Linked DNA regions of Caenorhabditis elegans. The protein of the gene in region 1 purifies or fractionates together with the protein of each later gene. This does not show direct contact. Each region holds a gene or a part of one and is shown in the gene's direction. Other genes may lie near its edges. The genes, in order: smap-1, tbca-1 and asp-3.

Region 1 (8,512 bases):
GTCTTCAAGGATTCCAGCTCACACACTCTCTTGGAGGTGGAACCGGATCCGGAATGGGAACCCTTCTCATCTCCAAGATTCGCGAGGAATTCCCAGATCGAATTATGTCTTCCTTCTCGGTTGTTCCATCACCAAAGGTTTCGGATACCGTCGTCGAGCCGTACAATGCCACCCTCTCTGTCCACCAGCTTGTTGAGAACACCGACGAGACTTACTGTATCGATAACGAGGCTCTCTACGATATCTGCTACAGAACTCTAAAGCTCACCAACCCAACATACGGAGACCTGAACCATCTCGTGTCTCTCACAATGTCTGGAGTGACTACCTGCCTCCGCTTCCCTGGACAGCTGAACGCTGATCTTCGCAAGTTGGCTGTCAACATGGTTCCATTCCCACGTCTTCATTTCTTCATGCCTGGATTCGCTCCACTCTCCGCCAAGGGAGCTCAGGCTTACCGTGCATTGACTGTCGCCGAGCTTACTCAACAAATGTTCGACGCCAAGAACATGATGGCTGCTTGCGATCCAAGACACGGAAGATACCTCACCGTTGCTGCTATGTTCCGTGGACGCATGTCCATGAGAGTAAGTTCATCGATTGCTTGTAACTTTTCACTATATGCTTTGTTTTTCAGGAGGTTGACGAGCAGATGCTCAGTGTCCAGAACAAGAACTCCTCGTACTTCGTTGAATGGATTCCAAACAACGTCAAGACTGCTGTGTGCGACATCCCACCACGTGGACTCAAGATGGCTGCCACCTTCGTCGGAAACTCCACTGCTATCCAGGAGCTCTTCAAGCGTATCTCGGAGCAATTCACCGCCATGTTCCGCAGAAAGGCCTTCCTTCATTGGTACACTGGTGAGGGTATGGACGAGATGGAGTTCACCGAGGCTGAAAGCAACATGAACGACTTGATCTCGGAGTACCAACAATACCAGGAAGCTACCGCCGAAGACGAGCCACTCGACGAGTTCGCCGGAGAAGGGGAGACATACGAGTCTGAGCAATAATCTGTGTATCAATCACTAAATTATCCTGCCCCGTTTCGTAATTTCCTGTACAATGATCTTTTCTTTCGCCCACTCCCAATATTTTTATGACTCGAATGAACGATGATTAATTTAAACTTTTTTCCAGTGTTCTCATTATGTTTCAATCATTAAAATATCTTGCAAAAGCTCGATAGAAGGTAGACACTGGTTCACAATTTTCATATTCAGAACAATGAAAGACACAGTCGTCAAAGGATCTCTCAAGTTGAAAAAAGTATCGACAGAAGCGCCAAAGAAGACTAAAAAGAGTAAGCCAGCTATGGACTTGAAGCAAGTTGACATGACGATCAGAAGGTATGTGTAATCCGAAACCAGACAGCTAACGGTCCCAGAGATTCCAGAAACACTTCCGGCGGTGGGCCACACAAAACCGAGGCTGAGCTTCGGTTCGAGGCTAGAAGACAGGCGAACATGGTAGGCGCTTTTTTTTTTAATACTTAAAATTCACATAATTTCAGGCGGAAAGAATGCTGAAACAGGCGGCGTTGAGTCATCGTGAAAAGGTGGAGAAGTTGAACAAGCAGCTCGGCGAGATGACAGAATTCAACGACATTCCAAAAGTTTCCTGGACGAAATAATAATAATAATCTCTCTCTCTCTCTCTCTCTCTCTCTCTCTCTGTACTTTACTTGAATCATTTGTGCATAACTGTCAATAAATCTTTTTTGGTTTTTTTGCTCCAAAATGTATATTTTCCTTGATTAATTCGTGAATTTTCGTAGCTTGAAAATCCTGTACTTCTAATAAAATGCCATGGCCACGTCATTATAATTCTCCAATAATTCCCACTTTGCGTCAAATTCGGCGTATTCACAGACAAAGAGTGTCTGCGTCTCTCCGTCTCTCGCCTCTGTCCTCACACACGCCCTCATTTGCGCGAGAGCCTGACACCGGCTCCGTGAAGCTGGAGCCGACTTCATTGATTATTCGGGTTACTGGCCTCACACACACGTTCTTCTCAAATTTCAGTGGAACTCGAGGAAGCTCAGAATTTATCATTTTTTCATATTATCTCCTCTTTTGTGCATTTCCCAATTTCCCACGCGTCATCGTCGTCGAATATTGATTGAGTTGCCCTTTTCTCTCTTATCATTTTCAACATCACGTTTCCGCATTTTCATTTCCATCGAGTTCAAGGTTTTTCAGTTTCAGAAGCACAAATGCTGCGAGGTAAAGTGGATCCGAAGAAGGAAGAGCAGGAAAGACTGCAAGGCTTCCTGTTGGACATGCTCAAGGAAGAGGAGAACAAGTATTGTGCCGATTGTCAGGCGAAAACGCCAAGGTGAGAATTTGAGACGAAAATCTGGAAATTCGCGAATTTAATATAGTATATTTCGGCTTAAAATCGTTATTGCAGTAAATTTACAGGTTTGCCGGAATAATTCTTTCGAAAACTGAAAAAAGTCAAAAATTATTTTTCCGCTTGGTTACAGTTTTTAGACTTTTTTTGTCAATGCAAAACCTTCGCGGATTTATTGGTCCAAGGAATTATTCCGATAAATCCACAAATTTCAAAATTTACCCCAAAAACCGTGCCAGGATTGCAAAAATTGCAGAAATAACAACAAAAAATCAATATTTATTTCAGATGGGCTGCCTGGAACCTCGGCGTCTTCATCTGCATCCGATGCGCCGGCATCCACCGTAACCTCGGCGTTCACATCTCAAAAGTGCGCTCAGTGAATCTGGACTCGTGGACGCCCGAACAAGTGCAGACGATGCGGGTGATGGGCAACGAGAAGGCCCGACAAGTCTACGAACATGATCTACCAGCGCAATTTCGGCGGCCCACCAATGATCAGCAAATGGAACAATTCATTCGGAGCAAGTATGAACAGAAACGGTATATTCTGCGAGATTTCGTGTATCCAAGAGTTGACGCGAGCCAGCTGCCGAAATCATTGTCTCAGGCACAGAAGAAGGTCGGAACGCCCGTTGTGAACATTGCATCACGTGGAAGTAGCTCTAGCAATGGACATTCGACGGCTTCAGCTGCTGCTGCTGCTCCATCGCTTCTAGATTTTTCTGATCCTCCAGCCAGCACAACTCCTGCTAAGAAGGCCGTCAACTTATTCGACGACTTTGATGGATTAAGTCTAGGACCAGCGGCTCCGGCAGCAGCTCCAGCTGCTCTCAACGATGATTTCGACGATTTCGGATCATTTGTCTCGGCGAACTCACAAAATGCTCAACAGAATGCTCAATCTCTTGGAGGAGGATTCGCCGATTTCTCATCGGCTCCAACGACAGCAGCTGCAGCGCCTTCAGCTTCTTCTGGCCTCGATGGTATTGAATTTTCACCTGGTCTTTGTCGCAAAAAAAGATAATCAAAAAATTGAGGAAAAATGTATGAAAATTGAACCAAATTTCAATTCCTAATTTTTATCCAAAAAAAAAGTCATTTTTCGGGACCTTGGAAAATCGAACAAGCGGGAACCAAAATTCATTTGTTTTTCACTTTTGTAAATAATTTTTTTAAATGATTTTTCCTTTTCAGATCTCACCGCTCTCTCCTCAACGGCTCCAGCGACAAATGGAAGTGATCAAAAGAAAACCAACGCAGATATTCTTTCGCTTTTCGGCCCATCTGGTGGCATATCGGCTCCGAATGTAGTTGCTCCCGGAGGATTTGCCGGATTTGGACTGCAAGCTGCTCCGGCTCAAATCCCGCAACAAGCTTCTTCGTTCCACCAATTCGGGGCTCCAGCTCCAGCTCCACAACAAAATGATATGTTTGGAGGACTGTCGGGTATCAATTTTGGAGCACCACCACCATCGGCTCAAATGTCTCAAATCCCACCAATGGCTCCACCACAATACTTTGGAGCTGCTCAATTTGGAGCAATGTCTTCCAGTGGATTCGGTGGAATGAGTATGCAGTCTAAACCAACGCCTACTTCACCAACTGGATCACAAGGATTCAATATTCCGAATAAATCGAATGCTTTCGCTGATTTGGCACTTGGAAAGGTACAATTTTGGCACTTTTGAGCGTTAAAATTCTAGATATATTGAAGAAAAAAACTAGAAATTTAGCAAAAAATTCAAAATTAAAATTTTTTTCCAAACAAAATACCCGTTTTTCGATAACTCTCGCTTTATGCTTTTTTTTCAAGCAAAATACCTTATTTTTCAGAAAAAATTGTCTGATTTTCGTTGAAAAATAAACGAGTATAATCAAGAAAAAATCATATCATTTTTTACCAATTTTTGCATGAATTATTAACTAGAAAGTTCCGGAAAAAACATCCAAAAGCACAATTAATTTGGATTTTTGTTTCAAATTTCCTAGGTTTTTGTACCGAAAAGAATTCACATTTTTTATTGAATAATTTCACAATTTTTTTTGGAAAAAAACCAGCAATTTGATGCAATTTTTTGAAAAAAAAAGTAAAGTTTTGAAAAAAATTTCGATCATTAAACTAAAAAAAGTCGAACCTGATTCGATATTTCTTGAAAAAAAAAATTAACCTATTATAATTTTTTTTTCCAGGTAATGAAGACAAACTACGGACAAAGTGCAATTCATCACCAAGCGGCACCAATTTCCTCTAATAGAGCGTCACCGATGCCGGCACAATCCAACACTGCCGCCAACAATGATCTTTTCGATATGTTCGCCTCGGCACCGCCACCGGTTACAGTCAATTCGTCTTCGTCTGGACTTGACGACCTCCTTGGACTCTGAAAAACTAGTTTTCCACCTAAAAAATGCATAATTTGACCTGTGATTTTATTTTTCTTTTCTCCCTCTCTAAACACTTTCTTTCCTAGGAAACTGCGCTTCTTTTTGTGATTTTTTTCTAGTAAATTATTATTCTCATCAACATTTCCCCCCGATAAAGTTCGGTTGTGTGAGCCCCAGAAATTCCAGTCCCTTCAGCATATCCGAAATGTGTATTAGGAATACTACAACTTTTTTTTCAGATTTCTATAGCCCCTCTCTTTTTCTTTCTCCTTCAACGTACTAATTCATGCTTAAACTGATTTTTAATGTGTTTTTTTTTCTGTCGAATGAAATTTATCGAGATTCCTAATCTTGAACTAAAATTTCGACTGAAAATGACTTTTGTCGACCCCCGGCGAAATAGTACGAGAAACGAGTAGCACGCAGACATGTTCGTCCTGATTCCGGTGGGAAATATCACACGAATCGTGGAGACGCAGCAGAAAAGCCGAATGAGGCGGAATGCGCGGGAGGGAATTGGGCTGAAGAAGACGAAGAAGATGAAAGGAAACCACAATTATCGTTCTTCGGTTTGAACATTTCGATTATTTTTGTTTTTCCTTTTTTTCTCTTCCGTTAGTTTTCTCGATTTTTCTGGAGATTCGGTTTAATCCGGTTTTTTTTTGCGAAAATTTAATTCCAAAATGTGCCAACTGTAAAGGCGCACATCTTCTACCCTTGCATGGGTTCTGCAACGATCAAAGTCAGTTTGAGAGAAGTGAGCATGTGCCTTTAAAAATTACTGTAATTTCAAACTTTCCTGCGAAGTTTCTCTCGAGTTTTGTTAAAATTTAAGTGTTTTATTGCTATATTTAATTTTAAAAAAAGCGAATGTTAATTTCTTCGAAAATTTTTTTTAAACAATTGATGAAAATTTATGCTCCACAGCAACAAAAGTTTGATATATAGTACTATTTAAAGGCGCATACCTTTTCAAAATTAAAAAATTTTTGCCGTGTCGAGACCCAAAACCAGGCTTCGTATTTGTTACTCAAAAATCGAAACATTTCGTGGGTTAAAAAATACTTTTAAGGGTTTTTGAGACAATTTAACTCCCGATATTTCAAGAAATATTCCATTTCTTCTCCATTTTCAAATTTTCAAAGAAATACACGTAATAAGTGGGCGGAGTCTAGCACAACGGAGTGTCGTTTACAACAAAAAACAACTGAACAATTCATAATTCTCGACCCCCACGGGAGGGCATAATTCGTATGCAAACTGGTTCTCTGGTCGCTTGGAGAAGGTTTTTTTTTCAAAAAAAAAAAATAAAGTTCGACGGTATATGCTGTGTGCAGTAATGTATGATTCATGTATGATGCATTTTTATATTGAACTCTCCACATTTTTCTAAATGTAATTTTTTATTCTCATTGTTATATACATACGACTTATTGTATTGGAAAAAGTCACTTTTATAAAAAAACATATTTATAACAATTTTTGGAATTTTTCACATAAAAAAATGTTCGAAAAGTTTTTATTTTATGGGCGCCCGTTGGGTCTCGATACGATCATTTTTGTATCTAACTGAAAAATTTTAATATTAAAGGCACATGGCGCCTTGCCAAAGTTGGGTACCCGCCACAAATCTGGGTGATTTTTTTTGTAAATTTAATTTTTGAAAGAACTTTTTTTCATTAAAAATATTTCAATCATGGGTCCCACCACGATTCTCGTCACTTCAAAATAAAACCTACGATATTCGTGGCGAGACCCATAATGTATGGATTTCCCAGATGTATAATAACTCTGAATATCCTTCAAAATCCCAACCTAATACAATTCCCAAAATAAAAAAGAAGCAACGTCCTTTTACAAATGTCGAGGTCAACATTCCAATTGAGAATTACTTCATTGAAGTACTCCGGACATATTTTCTACCGGATTCTTGATTTGTACAAAAAAAATCTGGAAAATTCGTATTTTCTTTTTAAAAAAGTTCTTGGAATTTTTTCCGATTTTTTCAAAATCGGAAACTGGCTTAAAATTGATACTGAAGTATGACTGTTTTTTCAATTGTTTCAAATATACTGAAATTAAAAAAAAAAAAAATCTGAAAAATTGTTTATTTTAAGACTGAAATATCGATTTTCAAAAATTGTATCCGTATTTGAATATCCTCCAAAATGAGAACAACACAACCAATCAGCGATTTGCGCCGCCCACTTTTCAACCAATCAGATGGAGTGGGCGGAGTTCTAGGACCCTGATTGGTTTGAATGTAGGCAGGGCTTCTCATTTTTGAGGTAATTCAGAAACGGGAAATTAGCAAAAATTAAAAAATCTTATTTTTCTCGAATTTTAATACTCTGGCAATATTCAAAAAATTAAATTATTTTTAAAATTTTTAATTGATACTTTGAACTCTTCTAGAACCCCAAATATTTTTCGGCCACAAAAATCACAAACTACGACTCAATATCTCATGTGTGTCCCTTTAAAAAGTAAACTCAAAACGGCCTGTAAATAGAAGAGTTCTTCTGGGCTCAACAAAGTTTATTTTAGAAAGACTAAAACGTGTAAATACACATTGTGAGTTACAAAAGTGTTCACTCTATTTGCCATTCTTTTCCTATTTTTCTCAACAAAAAAAGTTTGGCAGACTACGAACCAGGTGACCGTGGAGACTACAAGTTTTTTGAGGTTTTTTTTCGGAACATAACTGATTGCACCTCATGGGGACCGAACATTTTCTGATGTTTAGAAATTGTGGTTTATTTTTGGAGTTTTGAAAATCAAAGTTTAGGAACATTTTTTGAAAAATTGAAATTATTGCTTTTTTTTAGAAAAAAGCTTGAATTGTAACTTGAAATATTTGAATTTTTTTCAATTTTCATTTAAAAAAACAAATTGTTTCAGACAAGAGTACCGAAAATAACACTATTTGATGTTTTTTTAATGCAAAAAAAGTTCAAAAAAATATCCGAAAATTCAATTTTTTCAAAAAAAAATCTATAAAATTTATAAAAAAATTAATTTACCAGTTTCAGTGAATTTGCCCAAAGGAGAAATGTGCCTTCAAACACTGTTTGTGGCCTAGAAAAAGCTTCACAAAAAAAATGAAAAAAAAAATCAAATTTTTCGGAATTTGCCACATTTTCGATTTTTGAAAATATTACACTCAAAATAAAAAACTGTGTGGCGTGTACCAGGGGTGTGCGGCAAATTTGCCGATTTGCCGAAAATTGCCGACTTGCCGAATTCGGCAAATTTAAAGAAACCAGCAATTGCCGATTTGCCGAGCACGGCAAGTTTCAAAAAAGTAGATTTGCCGAATTTGCCGAGCTCGGCAAATTTCGAAATTTGCCGCACACGTCAAAAATTTTACAGTACAATTTTGACTAAAATTATTGATTTTTTCGCCAAAAATTTAGTAAAATGACACAAAATTGAGTTAGTTTTATGCTTAAGCAGACAAACTACACGGAACTAATTCAGAAACCAGATGTGTGTTAAGAATTCGGTAGTTTTGGTGTTCCAAAAAACATCAAAAATTATCAAAATTTTCCGAGTTTGTTAAGCACGGCAAATTTGCCGAATTCGCCGTGCTCGGCAAATATTGAAAAAAGAGATTTGCCGAATTTGCCGAGCCCGGCAAATTTTGAAAAACCAGCAATTGCCGATTTGCCGAGCTCGGCAATTTTTTCCATTTGCCGCACACCCCTGGCGTGTTTAGGCCCCGCCTTTTTCTCGTCCACTCAAGGGAAAAGGCAAAAATTTGGGGA
Region 2 (7,467 bases), on another chromosome or scaffold:
TATGAGCTTCAAACTTTATATTTAAAAAATAAATTAATTTTCAGCCACCGGAAATGTTCTCGCCTTTCCGATCCTTTCCCTTCCCACCTCGTCAAGCATCATCTCCGCCGAGTACGAGCTAACCGGTGCCGATTGTGAGCCGGTGTACGATATGGCGATTTATCAGAAGAATATTTATACATGTTGTCGTGATGGCAAAATTCGAACTTACAAGGCGCAATGGAGCTTGTAATTGAGTATTATTATATATTTCTTATGTTTAACTATTATTGAACTACATATTTTTGAATATAAATCTGTGATTAACCGGTAGAAATCCCAATTTATTTTGTTTTTAATTTGGTCCTAAAACCTTTTATTTCATCAGTTTTACCAATTTTCCCTTTTTTTTTCTAAAATTACTTGAATAAGTAAATTTAATTCAGAATGAGCTGTCTGCGACAATCCTCACAATCGTTCTATTTCACTCAAATTAGATGGAAAACTGTCAAGTTCAAGACAAAAATCGCAAAAACGAAGCCACTGAAAACGCCATCAGCCCAGGCGCTGGATCATTTTGATTTTTATTATGGCCCACTTTTTGGAAAGAAATGGCCAAGTATTCGGCTGGGCCTTCTGTCTCCGAATCGATATTTAGCAGTTATGAATACAATGAGCAGGTTCGGAAATCTGAAATTCCCGTGGAAATTGCCAAAAATTTTAATTTATGATTTTCTTATGTCAATTTTTAAGAATATTTTGATTTTATTTGCTAAATATTGCTCAAAATTTGTCCTGAAATTTGAAATTCCCGTTGAACTTCTCGAAAAATTCAAATTTATACCAAATTCTCTGCGAGACCCAGCTGTCAAAGTGTATGTACCTTTAAACTTGTGTCGATTTACGCAAGGATGATTTTTTGATTTTTTAAGGAAAATATGCTTTTATTTCAAATGTTTCTCAAAATTTTAACCGAAAACCTTACAGAAACTGGCAAGCTCACGATGAAATTCTCTCTGACATGGGCGCCAAGGATTTGCTTGCCTCAATTCGTGGAAAAGCCGAGGACCAAGCGATTGAGACAAAACGGAAAAGCGTTGAGGAAAAAGCGAATCGGGAGACTCAAAAGGTTAAGCATGAGATTTCAGTAAGTTTCCTACTGATCTTGCTGCTTAAAAATCGAATTATAATTTCAGAATCCCTCAACTTCGACCAATACTGAAGATTCTGAGCCGGATGAAGCGATTTTTCGATCTGCTGCAGGGCTCGGCGAGTTCCGGGCGAGCGCTGGAGAGCTCTCGTCTGGAAGTCTGCAGATGGGATTAGGACAATCTAATCAAAATAAAAATGTAGAAATCACCGGATTTGAAGGAGAAGGCGTTCGAATCCCGAAAAGAGATCACTTTTTCTATTATCCACAGGCCCTCCACGTCCGCTCATTCGATAGAGCTGTCCTTCTAGACTTCCCGGCTCCGATGAAAGATGAAGTCGGAGTTCCGAGTTACTGGCTTCTAGACGGTGGCTCACTGCTCCCAGTTTTGGCTTTGGGCCTTCAAAAAGACGATTCCCTGTTGGATATGTGTGCGGCTCCCGGTGGAAAAAGTCTTCTAGCGGCTCTGTCGAATTTGCCTTCGAAAATCGTTTGTAATGATTTCAAATTGGCCAGGCTTGGGCAGCTGAAGCGTGCGCTTATGACATATGTGCCAGAGGATAGCGAGGTGCAATATCAGTTTTTGTAAAAAAAACAAAAAAGTCAAATTTTTCTGAAAAAAAAATTGATTTTTTGACAAATTTGGAGAAATTGCCGATTTTTTTCGCAAAAAAATTCTTTAAAATTCGGAATTTTTTTAAAATTTAAAATCCGAAAATTCACCAAAAAATGGCTCAAAAATTTCCAAAATTTTCGAATATTTGCTTAAATTACTAGAATTTTCTCGAAATTTCACTTAACTTTTTTCCATAGTTTGAAATCTTCTTTAAAAAAACCAACATTTGAAATTTTCACTCGATTTTCTAGAATTTACTTGAAAAAATGACGATTTTCGTTAAAAACACCTGAAAATTCATTCAGAAATGTGAATTTTTCTCAAGATTTAAATTTCGAATTTTTCCAATTTAAACACCTCAAAAATTGGGTTTTCAGTGAGAAAATTGAATTAAATACGAATTATTTCAACTTTTTTCTGCTCTTTTGAGGAAAATCAGAAAATAAAACAATTTTTTGAAATTAGAGTTTTTTTTTTCGATTAAAAAATGTCGAAAATTCTTTTTTTTAAATATAAATCCCTCCAAAATTAGCTAAAACTCCAAAAATTTTCCTGCAGACAATCGACAAATTCGTCCTAAAACGCAAGGACGCGTCCGACGTCAAAACTTGGGATGAATTCGAGGCCTACGATAAAGTGCTCGTCGATGTTCCGTGCTCGACGGATCGTCTATCAGTCAGCACCGACGACGGAAACCTTTTCAGCACAGGATCCACTCAGCAGAGGCTTGATCTTCCGGTTCTTCAGACCAAGATTCTTGTGTAAGGATCCTCGGCTTTCCCTCAAATTATTTTTCCTTTCAGAAATGCACTGCGATCTGTAAAAGTTGGTGGCTCGGTTGTCTACTCGACGTGCACACTCTCACCAAGCCAAAACGAGGTTTTCGCTCGAACCTGGTCTTGGCACGACAAATTTTTTTGTTAAATAGGAAAATATATGCGCCTTTAAGGAGTACTGTAGTTCCAAATTTTTTGTTGCATCGATTTTTGAAAAACTCCTTGAAAAATGATGACAAATATAGTTTTTTCTCGATTTGTAAAAAATTCGAAAATTGATGAAAAATCGATGAAAATTTTACAAAAAACGTGAAAAACTCAATTTTTCAAAACAATATTCGGCTATTTTCCAATTTTAGTTTAAAAAAAATCGCATTCTGCATTTTTTTTTGCGCTCCCTGCCGTGTTTGCGTATTTTCACCGCTACAGTACCCCGAAATGCTCAAATTTTGCTCTGATAGTTTCACAAAAGTTTAAAATGTGAAGAAATCGTTTCTTTTAACACTATAAATCTCGAATTTTCACTAAACAGTTGAGAAAATCAAATCAAAATTTCAAATTTTGACGATTTCCGTTTAAAAATTTGATTCTGGCTTCAACTCTCGCCCGATCCCAACATTTTCCCTCAAAAAAAATCCCGAAATTCTGCATGCATTTTTTCGTAGGATCCGGTGATTGCGTACTTTCGCGGCTACAGTACTTCTGGCGTGTCGAGACCGGGGTTTTTTGTCGAAATAACAGCTCAAAAATGCTAATTCAAATTTCTTCAGGCAGTCGTCGAGAACGCTGTAGCCGTCGTACGCAATGACTTTGGAATCGTGACCGTCGAGGAATCCCTACATCAACTCGTATCCCATATGACGTCATCAGGCCTCTATCGTTTCCATGACACTCCACTGGGAGCCCTCGTCGTGCCGTTTCTACCCTCTAACTTTGGACCAATGTATATTTGCAAACTGACCAGATTGCAATAGATTTTTAATATTTGATGAATTTTTTTAAATTTCTAGATTTTGCTATTTTTTGTTTGTTTTTTTTAAATCTGAATTTTTAAATTTATGTCTTGTTTTAAAATTTTATTATTTATGCAGTACCCCCATGGGTGCATCTGCCGTTCCATCAGTACCTAATTTCAAATTCATAGAATTTTTCATTGATCCTTCTTGTTCGTTCTCTATGTATGTATTGCGAAATCATTTGAACAGTCGATTTTTTGGCGGGAACCTGTGTCGCCCAACAGACAGCGGTCAATTTGTATTTATTTCGAAATCGCCGAGCGTGTCTGACCATCTGCTCGCTTTCCCGTCCTTTTTCGGCTCATTGAGCACAACATTTTCGGTGGTATTGCGCCTTTTTCTATCGATTTTTAGTCCATAAAAGCAAGCTCACAATCTCGTTCTCTGTTTCAAAAATTCACATTGCAGAACCTCCCGCCGCCATGTCGACCCAAGCCGATCAGCTGAAAGCGCTCCGAATCAAGACGGGAACCGTGCAACGTCTCGTCAAAGAAGTCGCCTATTACGAGAAGCAAGTTGTGAAGGAGGAGCAGAAGGCTGCCCAACTCGCCGCCGACGCCACCAACGAGGACGAGGAGTATGTTGCCAAGAAGTCGAAGGATATTGTTAAGGTTTTTTGAAATAATCCGATTTACGAGTATACGAAATTAAAATATTTTCAGGAAACTGCCAACATGGTCCGCGATTCTCAATCACGTCTCCAAAAAGCTGTGGCCGACCTCCGTGAATCGATTGCTTCTGGGAATTATCCGGAGGAAGCCGCAGAATTCGTCAATGCGAAGACGCTTGTGGACTCCATTTCTGCTTAATTTATGATACTCTTTTGTTATTTTGGGATTTTCGGTGATTTATGATGAATAATTATTGCATTTTACTTGAATACATGGTTTATAATGCCGTATAAATAATTTTAAGAAGCAATTTCGCTAATATTTCCATACGAAAAATATACAGATGTCCGTTAATTCAACGATTTTTGCCTGGTTCGCGCTAAAAAGCAAAACATAAAATTCGAGCTCGTAAATCGACACACGAAATCGCATCGAGACCCTTCCAACCACTCCCATGCGCCTTTAACCCATTTCTAATTTTATCCAATTTTAGCCTGTTTTCTATGCAATCTTTATGGATTTTCAATTAATTTTGAGTAATTTCGATTAATTATAATGATAATTTTTTAAAGATCAATAATCGACTCAACTGGGATCATAAAAACAAAAAATATGGCTTCTGGTAAGTGTTAGCTTTTCGGTTTCAAGAAAATTTCATAATTCTTTCTTAATTTAGAAGCTGAAAAGGACAAGTGCCAGAGCTGGCTTGCGAAACAAGATTTGGACAAAGTCGGAGTCGATAATTTGAACCCACTCACCGAGGAGGTACTGAAAATCAATAATTTTTGAGTTAAAGAGTTATTTTTCAGGTTATCTCTCGACAAGCCACGATTAATATCGGAACTATTGGCCACGTAGCCCATGGAAAATCCACTCTGGTGAAAGCGTTCTCCGGTGTGCATACTGTCAAGTTCAAAAGAGAGTTGGAAAGAAATATTACTATCAAACTTGGATACGCTAATGCAAAGATCTACAGATGTTCTAACCAAGAGTGCCCAAGGCCAGGATGTTACAGGTTATAATATCTCCCTGAAATTTAATTTAAATAAATAATTTTTGAATTCTAATTCAGATCCGCCGGTTCATCAACACCCGATCGGTTCCCATGCGAGCGCGCCGGATGCGGTGGAGAATTCACCTGTGTTCGCCACGTCTCATTCGTCGATTGCCCAGGTCACGACATTCTTATGGCCACCATGTTGAACGGAGCCGCTGTCATGGACGCCGCGTTCTTGCTCGTCGCCGGAAACGAACCATGCCCACAGCCACAAACATCTGAACATCTCGCCGCCGTCGAGATTATGCAGCTGAATCATTTGATGATTCTTCAGAACAAGGTCGATATTATCAAGGAGTCGCAAGCCCGCGAAAATTACGAGCAAATCGCCGGATTTGTGCAAGGAACGGTCGCCGAGAATGCTCCAGTCATCCCGATTTCTGCGCAGCTTAAATATAATGTTGATGTAAGGATCTGAATCTGGATTTAAATATACCACGCTCTCCTCAAGTGTTCATAATTATTAGAGCGCGCTCGCGCGGCACCACACGAACTCCAGAATTCGCGGGAATTCGTTTCGCGGGGACAGCAGTTTTTGGCTATATTCGGCTTCTATGGAAATTATTTTTAATTTTTTTGATTTATAATATTGTTGAGAAGCACCATCCGAATTGAAAATGTGTAAAATTATGAAATCTGACCGAAAACTGAAGTTTTTACAGAGAGGAGTCACCACGGCTTTCTTTAAAATGTATCAGTACCGTCAGTTTTTCGAATTCAGAGTCGTAAAATATGTCATTTTGTAAGTCTGTTTCACGAAAATCCATGTTTGAAATTTTAATTTTTTAATTTCTAATATAAAAATATTCAAAAAATCAACAATTTTACGTTAGAATCTAATTTTTTCAAATTTTCAGTTTTTCATAAGAACAATTTTAAAATTTCAAACATGGATTTTTGTGAAACAGACTTTTCTCTACAAAATAACATATTCTACGACTCTGAAATCGAAAAACTGACTGTACTGATACATTTTAAAGAAAGCCGTGGTGACTCCTCTCTGTAAAACCTTCAGTTTTCGGTCAGATTTCATAATTTTACACATTTTCAATTCGGATGGTGCTTCTCAACAATATTATTAAACAAAAAATTAAAAATAATTTCCATAGAAGCCAAAAACAGCCGCCTAAAACTGCTGTCCCCGCGAATTCTGGAGTTCGTGAGGGGCCGCGCGAGCGCGCTCTAATAATTATGAACGCTTGAGGAGAGCGTGTATACTAGATTAATTGCGATTTTTCAGCTCGTTTGCGAGTATCTTTGCAAGAAAATCCCCGTGCCAGTCCGTGACTTCAAGTCGCCGGCTCGTCTCATCATTATCCGATCATTCGATGTTAACAAGCCAGGATCTGAAGTTGAAAACTTGAAGGGAGGAGTCGCCGGAGGAACATTGACCAAGGGAATTCTGCGCGTCGGACAAGAAATCGAAGTTCGCCCGGGAATCGTCTCAAAAACCGCGACCGGTCAACTCCAATGCCGTCCGATCTTCTCCCGTATCGACTCTCTGTTTGCCGAAAAGAACCAGCTGGAATACGCCGTTCCCGGCGGTCTCATCGGTGTTGGAACGAAGATCGACCCGACACTCTGCCGTGGAGATCGACTCGTCGGTCACATCCTCGGAGCCGTTGGCACTCTTCCAGATATCTTCATCGAAATTGAAATCTCCTTCTATCTTCTGAGAAGATTGCTCGGAGTTCGTACTGAAGGAAAGAAGAAGGGAGCCAAGGTGCAGAAGCTTGTCAAGGAAGAGACTTTGCTGGTGAACATTGGATCGTTGTCAACGGGAGGAAGAGTTACTGCTGTGAAGGGAGACGCCGCGAAGATCAGATTAAACGATCCTATTTGCACAGAGGTAATTCCCACTTTTTATAAAATAATAAATTTAATTTGTATTTAAATTCAGGTTGGAGAGAAGATTGCCATGTCACGTCGTTTCGAGAAGAGTTGGCGCCTGATTGGCTGGGGAACCATTCGCAAAGGTCAAACCGTTGAGCCGTACAAGAACTAGCGGCTATCATCGATTTGTTGTCTACACCGGTTTTGACATATTATTAATCTTTTCCAATTGTTTCTCTCCGTTTTTGTCTCTCTATTAGTCCAAAAAATTTTGTCGGATCCCTGTTTTGGTTCTTTTTTCTGTCCTCCTCCTGTTTCCTACTATTCCACTTCCAGTTTCATTGATTATTTTTCTTTTTGTTGAAAGTGTGCTTGGTGTTTTTTCGATAAATTATTGGATTTGAGTAAAATCTGGAAATACATTTTATA
Region 3 (8,512 bases), on another chromosome or scaffold:
CAAGGAAATGTCTACATGCGTAACATAACTCTCGAGAATTGGGAGAGCTGTGAAGTTCCAATTGAAACATACGAAATTAGTTTGGTGAAAAATTACGAGAGTCTGAAGCAACATGTTTTCGAAACAATTGACTTTGAAGTATCAGCTACTTCAAAAACGTGCGTCATATATTATTTTATTTACAGAAATCTCAATCGGCAGCAATAGAGCAACCGTCGGTGTTCATTGGAAATTTAATAATCAAAACAGCTCCAGCTGACACTTTTCTAGACACAAGAGGTTGGGGAAAAGGCGTTGTGACTATCAATCAGTACAACATTGGACGATATTGGGCTTCTATTGGACCACAGGTGCCCAATTTACTGTTTTTAATATATTTTTCAAAAGTTAATTTTCAGCAAACTCTTTATATTCCATCGGAATTCCTTCACAAAGGGGAAAATCTCATCATGTTTTACGAATTTGAAGGCGCCACAACAGCCTGTACAGCAACTGCTTGTACAGCAAAATTCACAAATATCCCGGTGTTTGATTATTGAGATCGTTTATTGAATACTTATAAATGTAATTTAATAGTCTAGTTGTCTTCATCAGAACTCTCCGTATCCTGTTCATCACTTTCATTACTCAGAGGGTTTCTGTACAAATGCAAAGAACTTCCACACTGTTTTGCCGCTTCTGCAACAGTTTGTTTTCCAACCGGGACATGATCAACTGAAGGGAGAAGCTCAATTGTATCCTCTGAACAAACATAATTAATCAAAGATAATATTAAAAACCAAAGTACCTTTATCATTAAGTCTACTCGCACTTTTGCTAAATCTCGCAATACTAGTGCTTGGAGCTCTACTTCTTGATTGTAAATAAGAATGAATTCCAGAAGGCGCAGTGGAGTTCGTGTCTGGTCCCATGCTCAGAAGTTGCCTTTGAAGTGATAGTTCGCGGAGCTTCTTCTGATTGTCACGAATGCTAATGAATTCGCCCAATGTTTCACTGTAAATTAGCTATGTACAAACATGTACAATAACTGAAGTTAAAATGTAAAATATACCCAGACGTTTTGTCGTCTCTCCATTTCTGCCCTTCTCTTGACCCAAAAAAAATGAGCACGAGTGCAAAAACAAAAAGAATTGAAACACCAAGAATTATGGCAAATAAGACGATGCTAAAACCATGTTCTGAGTATCCATATAGTTCACGTGGGGGTTGTTCAGGTTTTTCGTTCAAATTCTGAAATGTAAAGACATTTTTTCTGAAATTTTTTTTTGAAAATTTCTGAAATTAAATTCTAAAATTTGAAGAAAACATTAATCACATGCCCGGTCCGCTTCTTTCAGGTTATGGTTACTTGCCGCAATACTTTCGTTTGCTATTTGCCAGCTCACCCCGATAACCGCACGCGATTATTGTGGCTATGTAAAATTTCAAGGCCAAATGCATATTTTATGCTTAACTGTCAAACTTTGCTAATCCGTCCATTTCCATCTCGCTACTACTTTATTCGAGCCGTTCAATTGGTTTGTTAAGCTATTCTTCAGTGTAAAATGTTGAATAAACTAATAATCAAATGAAAACTAAGTTACGGTCGCTTCAAAGCTGTGCATTTCTCAAAACATGTAGAGTTTTGTTTAAAAGTTACCTGATCTGGATTCGCTTTTGTCAGTTTCTCTTCTTGTTCATCCTTTATCAATTCATCAATACCTTCTCCTTCAAGAGATGAAATATTTCTCTGAATTAATATTTAAACATTTTAGAATGTTGACAAATTTAATTATTTTGTTCTTACTACCGCAACATTACACCAGTCCACCGGAAATGTTGGTGCAAAATACTTATTCATCACGACAGATGAGGGATTTGAACAAAACTCGGGCATAGTTTGTAAATTGTGTACAATTGACATGGTTCCGGGATAGAACTTTTGCTGTGTACCAACATACACCATTGTTCTGAATTTTTCAAAAACTGAATTGAATTAAAACATTTTTTTACCCGAAACTATTTTTGAAAATGTGCTCCTTGCCACGTGGAATAATGTATCTGGAGCGAACACCTGCAATATATGGGTTTACATTTCTTCCCCGGAATGTGTTTCGCAATGAGTTTTCTAGTTGACCTGAACAATATTATGATGATGATGACAAAAGTGTGTTTTTTATTACTCACTTATTTTTCTGTCTCGATTTGAAACTAAATCCTCTACATCTAGTCCATTTATTGGCAGTTCAAAAACTTGTTGCGTATTTCCTTGATACAATGCTGCAAAATTACAGTTTACTGTTTCTTTTTTTTAATGTTCTAAACTATAAACTAACAGTCTTCCACCAAATTAATCACCACCATTCTTTGCTGTATATCAAAATTATCCAGTCGTTTCGCAATCACGTGTAGTGTAACATGCTGCACATTTGTGACCGGTGTGCCTGAAACATACATAACTACGATAAAAATCATAAGATGATTTTATTTTTATGAATGTACTGGTGTGTTAATAACTAATCGATCACCTATTAGATAAGCGATTTCCGGGTGTCGCGACGGTAAGAGACGTAACCAGTTTGGAAGAGCCGGCTTTTTGTTTAGCGTAGCTTCCCATTTCACTTTAACTGAAAATAAAAGAGCAATTGATAAAAACGATCAATAGTTTGCACCTGTGCTCGGGAAAAAGTGTGCAGAATGGAGAGTGTGGACAAAAAACTTTCCCTTGGTTGCAGTCACGTGAGTAGGAGCTTTGAATGATTTCGACGTTCGAAATAGCAACAAAATGGAGAATATCGAAAAATCGAGTAAACGAATTTTCATTTTAAGTGAAGATTTTGTGTGAAAGAGATGTGTGGAACGAGATCCTTTACAACGGCTGCTCGCTGAGCCGTCCGCACAAACTTTTGCTTTTTACACAGCTCAACTGGGTTGGCGGTTTGAGGGAAGCTGCCAACAAGACCCGCCGGGGAAATCATTGTTGACGATATTTTAGAGCATGATGAACTTGATGAGATAAACTGATGTGGTGGGGTTGATTGATGTCGTCTCAATAATGTTTTTAAGATAAAAATAATGAATATATACATTAAAAACGATACTTGAAAGAAAACGTGATATGAATGTCTTTATTTGGAATTTTGGTTTCAGGAGAGTCTCTCTTTCAGAAATTCAGAAAAGGGGTGAACAATTTTTAATCTAAAAGGTAAAAAGTTGTTAAAGAAAGAGTAAATATTAAGAAAATTGTAAATTTTTCAAAGTTAGACTTTTTAAAATCATTAAAAAAAACTAGAGCTAGGTAAAACTTCAATTTTGTTTAATTAGCCTTGACACAGCGGCTGGGAAATAATTTATCATTCTACAAAAAGTTTTTTCATTTTCGTCATTTATACACTTTTTTTTGTTGAAAAAACTAGAATTCAGAGTTTGTCAAAGGTTGGGTATTGGCCGTTGTGAAAATGAAATTTAAATTGTGGTTTAAAGGTTTAAGACTATAGTGAAACTTTTCAAACGACTTTTTAAATTTTTTGTGCAGTCGAAAATTCAAGAAAACTTAGTTTTCACCTATCATAATTCTGGAAGTGGCTGGAAAACAATATAATTTCCAAAATTTCAACTTAAAAGTATATATATCTAAAAGTTTTTGAAGTATGTATATTTATATTATGATTATTGGTCATGCACGACTAATATAAGTGTTTTTAAGCCAACAAAAAATATTGTTAAAAAACTTTCGGCCAATTTATAGTAACACATGTTTTACTACTTAAAACTTCAATACTTGGTTCAATGAAACAAATTTATAAAAATTACTTCAGGTTCTAAAATTATTAGTAATTGTATACACACCTGCTCCACCACTGCAACAGTTCTCAATTTATTTCATCTAGTCCAATGTCCAAATTCTGATTTCGTATTCCCTATCTACTTCGTAACGAAAATTGTGAGACAATTTGACGATAATGATAATGATTTCATATTTTGTGAAAATAAGCCGATTAAATTTTTAACGTGTGGAACTTTCTAGAACTAATTTTAAAGTGTAGTCATATTTTAATAGGGGAGAACAAATCTGAATTGTAGGCCATTGAAATTGTTATTTTGATCAGAATGACGATGAGGGTGTGACGACGACAAAGCAGTGTTGACTTGTTGCTGAAAGTACATATGATTTTGCTGGAAAAAGTTTAATGTGTTCTTTTGGCAAACAGAACGCTATAAAATCCGGATCCTTGTCAGCAAGTCATTTTGTCAACCCGGACACTTTTTAATGGTTTTCCCTCATTTTACACACAAAGTACACTACTTTAATAGCCGATCTAAACTTTTGACTCGGTGAGAGGAAATAATTCCGTTTTCAGCCAGCCAACCTCCTCTACTAATTATCACTAAAATCGGTTGTGACGTTTACAATTATATCATCAAGAGTTTGTGTCGCATATAAAAGAAACCCGGAGCGCTGCTTCTCAATTAGTGATAACGCACCATGTCGGGCCGCGTTTTCCTTCTTCTGGCTCTTGTCGCCTTGGCTTCTGCCATCCAGAGGTTAGTTACATTTTTAATATACCATTCATATATTTAAATTATTTTATTTTATTTATTTATCATGTTTCTTCTTTTTTTAGAATCAAGCTCGAGAAGCGCACTTACACTCGTGAACAATACAAGTTCGGATCAATCCAAGAGCATCTTAAGGCCAAGTACGTCCCAGGATACATTCCAAACAAGGATGCATTCAACGAGGGTCTTTCTGATTACTCCAATGCTCAATACTATGGACCAGTGACCATTGGAACTCCACCACAAAACTTCCAAGTTTTGTTCGATACTGGATCCTCCAACTTGTGGGTGCCATGCGCCAACTGCCCATTCGGAGATATTGCCTGCAGAATGCACAACAGAGTTAGTTTTGAAGTATTCAAATCAACTTTTTTTCAATAAAATAATTTTCAGTTTGATTGCAAGAAGTCTTCTTCCTGCACTGCTACTGGAGCCTCTTTCGAGATCCAATACGGAACTGGATCCATGAAGGGAACCGTTGACAACGATGTTGTCTGCGTAAGTCAATCTTATGATGTTATTTACAATATAGCTGAAAAATATATTTATAGTTCGGACATGATACCACCTACTGTACTGATAAGAACCAAGGATTGGCCTGTGCTACTTCTGAGCCAGGAATCACCTTCGTCGCTGCCAAGTTTGACGGTATCTTCGGAATGGGATGGGACACTATCTCTGTTAACAAGATCTCTCAGCCAATGGACCAAATCTTCGCCAACTCCGCCATCTGCAAGAATCAACTATTCGCTTTCTGGCTTAGCCGTGACGCCAACGACATCACCAACGGAGGAGAAATTACCCTTTGCGACACCGATCCGAACCACTACGTCGGAAACATCGCTTGGGAGCCACTCGTCTCTGAGGACTACTGGAGAATCAAGCTCGCTTCGGTTGTCATCGATGGAACCACCTACACCAGCGGACCAATCGACTCGATTGTTGACACTGGAACTTCCCTTCTCACTGGACCAACTGATGTCATCAAGAAGATCCAACACAAGATCGGAGGAATCCCACTCTTCAATGGAGAGTACGAAGTTGAGTGCAGCAAGATTCCATCTCTTCCAAACATCACCTTCAACCTCGGAGGACAAAACTTCGATCTTCAAGGAAAGGACTACATCCTTCAAATGTCCAACGGAAACGGAGGATCCACCTGCCTCTCTGGATTCATGGGAATGGATATTCCAGCCCCAGCCGGACCACTCTGGATTCTCGGAGACGTCTTCATCGGACGCTTCTACTCGGTCTTCGATCATGGAAACAAGAGAGTTGGATTTGCCACCTCTAGAACCGGAAAATAAGCCTATTTCTAATTTAAAAACTCAATTTCTATGCCATTACTTGCTTGATTGTAATAAATGTGGTTATGTGATGATAAGAAGTTCTAAAACAGTTCTTTCTATACGTTTGCAAGAATTCTAAAAACCCTGACTGGCTTCTTGATAACAAAGTTTACATTGGGTGGGAGGAAAACACAATTTTATGAGTTTTATTTTATGCTGTACTCAAAGAAAACAAAAAATCCAAAGCTTTCGCGAAACATGTGGTTCTCACTTTTTCATGACGCAAGAAATTTTCGTACTTTTCTCACTTGTTCCAGCATGATTCAAATGCTTTGATACACTCCATTTCCACATGTTTTAAATCTCACTAGTGAACACTTTCCGTAGAATCCTCCAAGAGAATAGTGGCACATTTGTGCTACAAACAATCTGTTAGAAATTTGTTTATATTTTTGACATTCTTCCTTCTATTCCTTCTATTCCTGCTAGCCGATCCTCCTCCCCTCAACTTAGAAGAGACATTTGAGATGTTCGATTAGATTTTATTGAAATATACACTTGTGCACGCAAAAACCGCGCGATTATTGTGCAATACCATGTCGTGTTTGTAAAGGAAGACCGCACACAATGCATGTTTCCGGTGACTCGGAAAATATACGTGAATTTATGCTTTGCGTAAATAGAAGTTACGAAACTTCTTTCTTCCGTTTTTTCTCTACTTGAAAGTCTGAATTTTTGTTTTAGACTAAATTCAAAATTTGTTTTGAGAAATTTTTTTTAATTGAGGGAACTTTCCCTGGATATTTTTCTAACGCTATGCAAAGCATTGCAATGTGCTAATTTTTAAAGTACAACTATTCTAAAAACTTTAAAATGTTTTATTTACTGTCAAAAACTTATTATAATATTGTCAGTCGACAAGCTACAAGAAATTGTAGTTTATCATCATGGTATTATATTAATTTAAACTATAATATTCAGAATTCAGACCTAATCGGGCTGTAGACTTTTATTTTTTACGTGTTTTTCAAATTTTAATTATCCTTTTTTTTTCAAAAAATGGCGACCTAATAAAAATGATATTAGCCTGCCGTTAACTGAAAAACTTATAAATTACATTTTTGCCATAAAATATAATCTGAATTATAACAAGAATGTTATTCTGATCAAAATTATTGAATTTTTCATAAAACGGTTCAAATGTACAAAAAGATTAGTTTCCTAATTTTTGATTTTTTTTCCTTTTTTGGGCAAAAAACTTATTTTAAAAAACAACATTTCGCGTTTTTTCCAAATAGTTTTAAAAAATTGTATTCAGCCCCACTGACGATATTCTAACTTTGAAAAACTTTGGATACCAATAAATAGGCAACCCATAACTAAAAAAAAGTGTGTTTCTCATTTTTATTTATTTTTCTGAAATATTCCAGATTTCATTTACCCGCTGGTACTTTCTCATAGCCAATATAGTATTCCATCATTTTATTTATTGTTTGATATCACATTTCCACTGACCACCTCTCCATTCACTGTGAAACAAGACCTTGAAAATATTTTCCCACATTGGGTGGGGTAAAATGCATACACCATCTAAACCTATTGTTCGAAAACGCTTCACCTGGGAAGGTTATTCTTTTAGTGAAAATTGTGATTTTGAGCGATATGATGCATGAATAGGTGGCTGATAATAAAATTAATCAATCAATCGTCTTTCATCTTACTCTGATCTCTTTGCTGGTCGCGATGTGATAGAATAAAAAACAGTTCATAATTCTTTTTTGGTTTTTGATGTGGACTTCCAGTTCTCTATCTTCGATCACATGCTTAGTTGGTCATCGGCGGACTGGCATCATCAAGAGAGCTTCATAAATCTTTTGGAAATTATCATAGGCGGTTTCGCCAAAAAGGGGCAAAACGCTTAGTATGTGCGATCAGAAATGGGAATGTAGGAGGATGAAGAGGAGCAGGTGATTTGCGTGCGCATCCGATGGCCTCTTTTCCTGCATCCTTCTGTCATCTATCATATGGAGACTCATTTCAATTACCGCTTCTTATTCGATCTGTCCCGTCGCCACTCTTCTTGCTCGCTTTTTCGTCGTCCTAAATACACTCTTTTTCCCAATTCCCATCACATTATTCAGCACATCACAGTTCCCTCAACCCCACTAGCCCATTCCTCAACGACACTTTTCCTTTTTCTGTCGCTCTTTTTTTTCCCGGACATAACTTACTCTCATAACGCGCTCGTACAATTTGTTGAGTTGGAATTGCAAGGCGGAAAAGTTACAGCAGCAATGCTGAAATAAGAAAAAAGCACCTACAATTTTACGAAGCGGCTGCTTTTCTTTTTTCTTTTTTTCCCCTCCACACATACACCAACATAACAATCAAGAATTTAGTATTAGTATTATGTGGTATCAGTGTTGTTCTCTTCCTTTGTTTAATTCAAAACCTGTCACGGCTGTCTGTAATATCGAGAACTGTAATTAAAACTATGCGTTCTTGAATTGCATTTTTCCCAATACTGTCAGTTATTGGCGCCAGATTTTCAAAAGAGTTTCCATGATAAAATTCAGTTGTTTCATGGTTCAATTGTTCATTTAATTTTGTTCAATTCAATCTACTACCGTTTTCCCTCTATTAGCATTTCATCCCAATTTTCAAACTTGTCAATTGTCAATTAT

The links.
Region 2: the proteins of smap-1 (region 1) and tbca-1 fractionate together in Caenorhabditis elegans (co-fractionation; one large-scale study listed by BioGRID). This does not show direct contact.
Region 3: the proteins of smap-1 (region 1) and asp-3 fractionate together in Caenorhabditis elegans (co-fractionation; one large-scale study listed by BioGRID). This does not show direct contact.

The regions. Positions count from the first base shown.
Region 1 is NC_003281.10:10,733,484-10,741,995, reverse strand, and holds smap-1 (Arf-GAP domain-containing protein), read left to right. Parts: upstream 1-2,203; 5' UTR 2,204-2,217; coding exon 2,218-2,339; intron 2,340-2,645; coding exon 2,646-3,343; intron 3,344-3,554; coding exon 3,555-4,027; intron 4,028-4,550; coding exon 4,551-4,745; 3' UTR 4,746-5,103; downstream 5,104-8,512. Other genes in the region: tbb-1 (Tubulin beta chain), read left to right, coding at 1-587, 638-1,015; tass-1 (Protein FAM32A), read left to right, coding at 1,230-1,351, 1,390-1,471, 1,516-1,635.
Region 2 is NC_003279.8:2,308,551-2,316,017, forward strand, and holds tbca-1 (Tubulin-specific chaperone A), read left to right. Parts: upstream 1-3,945; 5' UTR 3,946-3,959; coding exon 3,960-4,148; intron 4,149-4,199; coding exon 4,200-4,346; 3' UTR 4,347-4,407; downstream 4,408-7,467. Other genes in the region: Y39G10AR.9 (WD_REPEATS_REGION domain-containing protein), read left to right, coding at 45-232; 5-cytosine rRNA methyltransferase nsun-4, read left to right, coding at 427-659, 967-1,126, 1,176-1,697, 2,304-2,506, 2,549-2,624, 3,292-3,495; eif-2gamma (protein-synthesizing GTPase), read left to right, coding at 4,761-4,770, 4,825-4,913, 4,958-5,163, 5,221-5,611, 6,446-7,054, 7,106-7,210.
Region 3 is NC_003284.9:6,786,726-6,795,237, forward strand, and holds asp-3 (Aspartic protease 3), read left to right. Parts: upstream 1-4,338; 5' UTR 4,339-4,465; coding exon 4,466-4,524; intron 4,525-4,604; coding exon 4,605-4,881; intron 4,882-4,932; coding exon 4,933-5,037; intron 5,038-5,090; coding exon 5,091-5,846; 3' UTR 5,847-5,984; downstream 5,985-8,512. Other genes in the region: bgal-2 (Glycoside hydrolase 35 catalytic domain-containing protein), read left to right, coding at 1-138, 186-350, 399-539; sgca-1 (Dystroglycan-type cadherin-like domain-containing protein), read right to left, coding at 578-741, 788-993, 1,052-1,230, 1,640-1,729, 1,787-1,949, 1,993-2,116, 2,167-2,259, 2,316-2,423 and 2 more. UniProt on the Caenorhabditis elegans protein: Aspartic protease. Part of the necrosis cell death pathway. Involved in neuronal cell degeneration. Involved in heat stress response.